Linked DNA regions of Caenorhabditis elegans. The protein of the gene in region 1 interacts with the protein of each later gene in a pairwise test. Each region holds a gene or a part of one and is shown on either strand. Other genes may lie near its edges.

What was found.
Region 2: the proteins of B0336.7 (region 1) and spr-2 interact in a two-hybrid assay, tested with the Caenorhabditis elegans proteins (2 studies listed by BioGRID).

Annotation. Positions count from the first base shown.
Region 1 is NC_003281.10:5,694,229-5,699,200, reverse strand, and holds B0336.7 (THAP-type domain-containing protein), read left to right. Parts: upstream 1-1,834; 5' UTR 1,835-1,852; coding exon 1,853-1,861; intron 1,862-1,907; exon of another isoform or gene 1,908-1,910; coding exon 1,911-2,127; intron 2,128-2,289; coding exon 2,290-2,436; intron 2,437-2,567; coding exon 2,568-2,776; intron 2,777-3,049; coding exon 3,050-3,501; intron 3,502-3,946; coding exon 3,947-4,418; 3' UTR 4,419-4,472; downstream 4,473-4,972. Other genes in the region: Regulator of G-protein signaling rgs-5, read right to left, coding at 272-403, 459-510; lgg-3 (Ubiquitin-like protein atg-12), read left to right, coding at 1,191-1,370, 1,422-1,514, 1,568-1,651; B0336.13 (Transcription initiation factor IIA small chain homolog), read right to left, coding at 4,620-4,752, 4,867-4,972.
Region 2 is NC_003282.8:8,889,780-8,893,419, reverse strand, and holds spr-2 (Suppressor of presenilin-2), read right to left. Parts: upstream 1,959-3,640; 5' UTR 1,946-1,958; coding exon 1,448-1,945; intron 1,375-1,447; coding exon 1,174-1,374; intron 1,125-1,173; coding exon 882-1,124; 3' UTR 677-881; downstream 1-676. Other genes in the region: C27B7.2 (Phospholipid scramblase), read right to left, coding at 1-159, 244-384, 428-562; CCCH-type zinc finger protein oma-1, read right to left, coding at 2,888-3,294, 3,338-3,569, 3,614-3,640.

The DNA.
Region 1 (4,972 bases):
TTTCAATAAAATTTATAAGAATTATAGACCATGTGAAATCTGGGTTCTATAATGTGAACATAAAATATGTTTTTTCATCAAAAAATTTGCCAATTTTCTCTGACTCTGGGCCACGCCTCTTTTGTGGGCGGGGGTACGACGCGAGACTCTTGATCAATTTCGCCCTGTTATAAATGTTTTCCTACTTATCAACTAGTATTGGGTTACTTCATATTTTTTCGAGTTTTTCAGAATTTTTAAAATGTGTTCTCAGAAGTTACAATCAACTCACCGATATCCGCTGATTGTTGAGCAACTGTTAATGAATTTCTCTGTGCTGGAATACAAATATGATCATTTACAAGTGAATCTCTATGAGCATTCCCATTTTGATAAGCTCCGTCAGATGACGTGGCAGTATGACCTAAATTTTTTCAATTAGATTATCGATTCCTTACGTGGTTTTCTTAGAAACTTGCCATTTTGTTCTTTGTCTTTTTTGCGGCGAAGTCGCCCGAGAAAACTGCTCATTTTTCAATATTTTATGACATTTTCTGAGTAAAATTTAGAAAATCGAGCTTTATGAAATAAATAGAAGGGATTTATTTTTGTCCACAAGAGGGTTATCAACTTCTGCGCACCCCCTGTCTGCACGTCTCCGTCTCTTTTCTCTAAAGCACACGACAAACGCGTCAACGACCACTCGAAGAAACGAGGCAAGAAAATATATGTCAGCTGCGACCTTTTTTTAGCGTTTAAGAAATATTTTCTTCAATATTCTGAGAGAAATTCAAACTTCCGCCATTTTACTACAATAGTAATTGGTTTTTTTAAATTCCAGTCGAGACGCAAGTTCCCAGAGTTGATTGTGTTCCTTTACATTCTAGCGTTTTTCACGTTTGAAGTTTTCAAACTATAGCAAGTATAAATGCTTGTGTGTCAGATTTTTTTGTAAAATATTATTGAATTTTTAAAATTTTACGAGCTAATTAGTTTTTTAGATTTTAAAAACCCTGTTTTTTAAAAAAACACATCTTAAATCCAGTTCTTTCCATAAAATAGCAATATTCCAGGCGAGACCAAGGTCAAAATGTTAAGTATGTTCCTTCAAAGCAACCGTAGTTATCATTCAAATTTTTTTTCGAATTTTTTCGGCTCTAATACTTTATTCCCATTTGTTTTTTCTTTTTAAGTGGGGTTTTTTGCAGAAAATGGAAACAGAAACCGCCACAACTCCAACAGGAAATACGGAACCCACCGCTGCAGCTTCCGCCGAACCACCAAAGTCAGATAAGGTGACCGTAAGGCTGAGGAATATCGCAGATGCGCCAGTTCTTAAAAATAAGAAAATGGTGGTGAATCCAACGGACACTGTTGCTTCCTTCATCTTGGTAAGAATTGAAATTCTTAAAAAATGTGAAAATAATATTATTTTCTTCCAGAAATTGCGAAAACTGCTGAATATTCAAGCCAACAACTCACTCTTCTTGTACATTGATAACACATTTGCCCCATCTCCTGACACCACGTTTGAGGTTAGTTTTAATTTGAAAAACTCGATATAATTTTATAAAAATCAAATTTTCAGACGCTATCCCGATGTTATTCTGTGAAAATCACCGATAAGGAGATTCTGGAGCTTCAGTACAGCATTACACCGGCCTACGGATGAAAAACATGCGAAGCGGGATTTTTTAAATGTATTATATGTACTTGATGTCACAATAAATTCACTTATACCACAATTTCATTTTTACTTTTCAAAAAAATATAATATGTTTTTTCAAGTCTTTATCTACTTGCTATCTCCACTTCTCAAAGAAAGTAACAGGAAATAAATTTTAAAATATTTCAGATCTCTAGATAAAAGATAATGAGCAAGGTAAGTCTTAGAACTTTTTTAAACTGAAAAATTGAATCTCAAATTTAAGAAAATCGATCACGATGAGGATGATCGAGATTCGTCGGAATACGAGGAAATGGATGATGATGGGGAAGAAGCTGAGATTGATATGGAGCAACACGAGATGATTTATGAAAAGGATATTGAGCCGGTCGAGCAGTTTCAGCAGGAATATATTAGTGATCAGGAGCCAACTTCGAGCAATCATGAAGAAATTCCTGTTAGCATGAAAATTGACTACGAAGGTTCATTATTTATAGAACTACTGGAAAAATTGAAAAAAATCAAGTTTTGAAGTTTCCAAACATTTTTTTGGGAAATTGAAAATTTGATCTTCCAGGTCCAATTTATCTTTTGAAAAACTTTTAAAATTTGAGAAAAATCAAATTAAACATTAATTTTTACAGAAGTCTATCCACACAACGCCGTTCAAGTAGACAATGCTCACGAAATGGTTGAAGCTGAAAAAGTTTATTACGAGAATGAAATGGAAGATCTCGTTTATCATGAGATTTACAGAATTGAAGGCAATCAGAAACAGGAAAATTATAAGAGTATGTGCATTTAAAACTGGAATTTTGATTATTTAAAAAATCCGGTTAAAATTGCTAAAAAACGAAACAAAATTCAAATCTTTGCGAAAGGAAATCCAGAAAAAAAAATAACATGACCTTGAAATTTTCAGGAATCCGAAATATAGTTGGATCAAGCGCCTCCTGTCTCGTCTGCCAACGTTCCGAATCCGAAAAAATCCGTCTTTTCAAGTGGCCAAAATCAGAAGAACTCAAAGAGCAATGGTTACATTTCTTTCGGCTTCCAGCTACAGTACTTCAGAGTGCAACACAAGAACCATATATCTGTTGTTATCACTTCTCAGCCGACACTTTTGTCATGGTTAGTTGGAATTCTACGAATTTCATGAAAAAAATTATCTCAAAGCACGGAATTAAAAAAAAGAAAGTTTCTCCAAAAAAAAACATCAAAAGACCCATTTTCGCCAAAAACACAAAAAAAAACCAAAAAAGGCAAGTCCAACGATATTGGGAAAATTTGAATTTGTGAAAAAGTTTGAATATTACAAAAAAAGTTTATAGCAGGAAATTTTTTATTTTTCAAGCGAGTTTTTTGAATTTTGAATTTTTCTTTAGAATTAATATTTCTTTTCAGATCGATGATCGAATCTTCTGGAAAATGACCGCACTTCCAAAATATCGACAACGTCGTCCGGGGCTCGCCGAGCCATTTCCATGGGAGCCCGCTGTAAAGCATAAAATGGAAATGATGCAATCAACCGATACAACCAACAATTCTTCAGTCGTCGAGTACAAAATTCGCTATCGAATGCCTTTTAATAAGCATAAAACACGAAATGTTCATCAAGTTGCAGTAATGACTCCAGTTGCTCAACCACATTTATATTATGAATTTCATTTTAATCGATATGGTTTGAATAATACGAAATTCTACGCGTGTTTGAGTTGTCGAAAAGCAAAAACTGAAAGTGGAATTCGTGACGTCATTCGGACAATTCATCTCGATGGATATAAATTTTTGAGCAATGGAGATCCATTTAATGGACATCATTTTGCATGTAGACCTCATAATGTCTACGATTACAAGTATGTTTTTTCTTTTAAAAATATGAATTCACAGGATAAAATTCGATCAATGGGTCTTGGCAAAACATTTTTCAGCTACCGTACCCATGACAACGGTAGATTTGCAATACTTTTTCTTAAAACGTTTTTCAGTGATAATGTTGGAGAAAATTATTTTATTCATTTTTTCTATGTAATACAGGGAAACACTTCCACAATTTTAATTTTTATTTTTTAAACCTCCGATTGTCAAGAGAAAAGAAAATCTACCGTAACCGGAGGGTACGGTTGCCATAAAGTTTCAGTCGGGGCAAGACCTGAATTCAGATTTGAGTACAAAAATCGTGGCGAGACACGCCGAGGAAACATGTTTGCGTTTTTAAAATAGGCTTTCAAATCGTTTCAAAAATGACAATATACTTTAAGCATTTGATTTTTTTCTGATTTCCTAATCACTTCTTTTCAGATCATCTTGGCGTCCAGTTCCCGGTCAAAATGGAGAAGCCAATTTTCTCGATGAGGTTGTCTACGTTGATGAGGGTGGAAATTCCCTGGAATGGCATGCCGTGACCCGTCCCGGAGACAATCGAGAAGTTGAAGCGGTGCATGAGAAAGAGGATCCGCCGATTATGATGTATGATGGTAATTTCGAAGATCCCATCACCGAGGAAGTGATCGAAACGAATTATGTCTTGGATGAACCACCTGTACTATATTCCCAAGATCCGGATCGCAAGCCTAAGCCATCGAAAAAGTCCAGAATAAAGTGCCATCTATGCTTGAAGACCAGCTTTTCGTCAACACAAAGTCTGGTTGATCATCTTCAAAAGCACATTCTCGATGAGAAAGAATGCAAGCGTTGCCAGAAGCGGATCTCGTGTGATTCAAGAGCAATATGCATTCGGAGAGGTGTTTGCGGGAGTTGTTTTGTTGTTTAGATTTTCCTTGTTTGCATTTTTTCAAATCAATAAATTGTTGTTCGTTCGAAAAATATATTATAGGATTGAGAGAGATAGAGGAGGTCTTGCTGTGACAGCGTGAGAGATCTAGAAAAGAAATGAGCTGGGCCCATACAATAGAAAGCTTGTGTAAGAGAAGAAATTGGATTAGAAAATGAAACAATGATTTGGAAAGTTCATCTAATCACTGTCATCATCTTCATCGTCGCCTGCAGCGGCCGCGTGAGCTCGATTGACTCTCTTGGATGGTCCCTGGGCGCTCAATGTCTGCAGAAGGCTTGTTTGACGACCATCACAGGCGACCACTTTCAGTCTGAAATATTAATAATTATAGATCATCGAGAAACAAAAATTTTTATAGAAAATTAATAAACAATTGCTTTTTTCTAGATTTTTTATTTTTAATACAAATAAAAGAAACACTCACTTATCAATAGGCTCATCAAACGATCGCTGGGGATCTTTCAACGTGACATTATTGAGAATAAACGTCCAAACGTTATCACAATATCGATAAGTGAGCAGTTGTGTCG
Region 2 (3,640 bases), on another chromosome or scaffold:
ACTCAAATTTTGCATTCGATAATCAAATCGAAGAAGGCGTGGATTCATAATAATTCGAGTAAATGACACATATTTGACTCTCCATCTACAACGAACCGTTCCTTCGTCAATGACTGGAGCTACTGATAACATTTCCATTTCCACGTGTGGCAAGAAGACCTAAAAGATTTTGAATCTTGGATAACGAAGACTTGGCCAATTTTCTTTTCAAAAACATTGTTCTAAAAAAAAGGTTGGATAAACCTGTCCCAATGTTCCAATCATTCCAAAATGGCTCATCAGCTGTTCAATTCCTCGCTTTTCAACTGAGAAAATTTGATCATCACAAACAACGTCTTTTCGATAAAAAGTATAATCCATTCGTCGGCGGAACATGAGCGGAACCTTCAAGTTGTTTCAGTTAACCCACAAAAAACTTTTAATTTACAGTTTCAGTGAGACGGGTCGTCACATGCTCCAATTGGTGAGGTGCTGGTTTTTCATGAGAAAAATCAATGCTAAAGGACCGAGTACACGCCGATAATCTAGAAGTTGCTGCTGTGAAACGACATGTGAGCAACATCTGAAAAGAGGCGAATGAGCAAGTTAGTAGATTGAACTGTTCAAGAACTACGTGAAAAGGAAACTTCGCGGCCAATTACCATTTGTTTTGTAGGACTCTTAGACGGTATTCAATGCAGATCTTTCATTTGATTCGAATATACTTGGAATCATGTCAAAAACATATAGGAATACAATCAAGCTGAAGATAGAGCCGCAAAAATACTCGGCAGTGAATAAATACTTACAAAAACGGGATCGATTGATAAATGATAAAAATGACAATTATAACACACGGTGGGAATAATAAATTAGTATGCAACAAATTTCAGCTTCACAAGCTACTCTGCAGTGTTCTCGGGGTTGACTGCAACGTGTGCTTCAACATTCTCATCACCACCTTCTTCTTCAATTGCTCCATCCTCTTCTTCTTCTTCACCCTCCGCTTCTTCTTCAACACCATCTTCTTCTTCTTCTCCCATATCTTCCTCTTCTTCATCCTCTCCTTCTTGCCCATCCGCACTTTCATCTTGATCAACCTTCAGTGAATCACTTATGTTCCGACGAGGAATCCTTTGTCCATTCTGAAAATTGTTCAAAAATCCAGTAGCCTCATAATGGTGTTTCTAATACCTCATCTACACCGCGCTCCTCATTCAGAAAGTCTTCGATATCGTCTTCTTCAACTTCCTGCATGTCGGGCATCACGTAGTACTGCAAAGGATTGACGTACAGATCGTCTTTGATCACTTCAGCAATCTCATCACTGTCTGGTAGTGCTGCGTACGTGAGCCATTCAAGAAACGTGTGAGCTGAATCTCCGTCTTCCGGCTTCTGGAAGAGTTACATTGCGAAAGTTTTAGAAAAAATTCGATTAAAACAATAGGGATTATAAAGATAAACTCACGAATGGCGGTTTCTTGTTCTCCTTCCACTCGATTTCGGTAATTTCGGTGCTCGGTGACTCAGATTGCAGATGATACGACTTTGTAATTACTTCGTTTGTGAAGTACTCATTCGGGTCAAATGTCATAATTATTTTGAATCCACTGCGAAGATCTTCAAATTCTTGCACTTCAAGATCTCGCAGAGCGGCTAACAAGTCCTCTTGTTCTTCCGGAATAGCAGTTGAAAGAAGATGATGATTGAGAAAAGCAGTCTGCCAGAAATTGTCGATTTTTGTTGTCAGCTTCTTTCTTTTTTCATAAATCGGAAGACGTTTCTGATTGAAAATCTGCTCGACTTTCAAAACTTCTTCGGCAGCGTTTTCACTCATCACATCTAGTTGGTGCTGAATGGCGTCTAGTTCGATTAGCTTTTCCTTCACGGGACCAGCTACTTCGGATCGGAGATTTGGGAACTCATCGGCATTTTTCATTCGCTTTGCAGCCGGCTCTTCGCTCATATTTTAACTGAAAAAATTGAAGATTAACGGCAAAGAGAGCTTGTTTAGTAGAACAACAAAAGGCAGGGCGAGTTTGTAAAGCAAGTGTTCAACAGAATAAGCGCAAACGCACTGAAAATGCGCAAATAGTGTTGACTGGCGCATATTTTGAATAGAGCCTAGACACTTTTGATTTAATCAAGTGATTGATCAAGCTTACCCACAATTAACAGTTTTATAAATATCGACAATTTATGACCTAGTCAAGAACGCGAAGCTTAAAATTTAAAAAAATAAATGTATTATTATCGGTTAAACGGTTGGGAAAAAACTAATTAACATGCATGCATATAAAGTCTTTAAAACCGTAATGTTCTCATATTGAGAACAAAGCTAACTTGAATTGCAATATTATTTTGCTTTTTCATGGTACGTACTTAGATAGTTTTCGTGTTGGAACATATAACCTGATTTTCAATAAATTTGAAAATTGAATCGATCAAAAAAATTTACTACATCCTGCAATGAGGATCAAGAAGGAAATTTCGGATAAAAATTTTAAATGAACAAAGAAACGAAAGAAAAATACGTACGGGCAGTATCGGAGCCATTGAGAAGAAAGAAAGATAGAAAAAAAGAATCACAATTATGATCCGTGGCAGGTGCAATTTATTTTGAGATTGGGGAAGGGATTAGTGAGACAGAAGGCAATCGGGAACTCGAGCGGTGAAAATTGGAATACATTCAATGATTCGATGAATTACAATATACATCACAAGATTCGATATTAATTTCGAGAATTTAAAATGGGAATGGGCGCTTTTGACGATTGGGCCAAGTTTCTATGGGACAAGAACACGTCGACTAAAACTTATTATATTCACAAATGCACGCATTATTAGTTAGTATGGGGGACACGAATATTGAAAGTGTTTAAAAATTTGACAAATGTAGAGAAGTTGTTCACCACAAATTGAGATGCTTGGTCATATTTTCGGCCAATTGATCGAATCCTGGCATTGGAGAGAATGGTCCGTTACATGACATCATTGGATCAGTTGCGACAGATTTCATCAGAAGAGATTGAGCAACAGCAGAATTTGCGAAATATGCAGCAGCGGCAGCTGCGGATGCTGCATTGAGTGACGAAGAACTGAGATCCTGAGAAGGCGTGGATCCAGCAGATGAATATCCAGAAACTCCTCCAGGAGTATTTTGCTTTCCGAGCATTCCGAACGAGCCAGCATTTGGAGCGGAACCCAAAACCATCGAATCGAGTGGACTAGCTGGCCGATGTGCCATATTCCAAGCGTCTAGAGCAAACATCGATGGATCCAATGGCCAGCGAGACGGTGGATAGGTCATCGCACCTAAAACAGAGGTCATTAATTGCAACTAGCTGCCAATTTTTACCTTCCGCGTCATGCAATTCCTTCGTTGGTAGCTCATATCTTGGACCACGAGTACTAACAGGAGTTGGTCCTAGTGGCAATTTAGCCGCTGGCTCATCTGGAGTTGATGGCCTGGCAAACATTTCTAAAGGATGCTGAATGGCAGAAAGCGGGGGAGCTGCAATGCGACCATTAGTCATGATGTGCTGCTCCATTTGATCACGAATGTCAGCCAATGCATGGCGTTGAGAAACCTGAAAATGTTTACAGTGAGCAAAAATACATGTTTTCTTCTGACTTCAAGAAGTTTATCAGCGCGAATGTA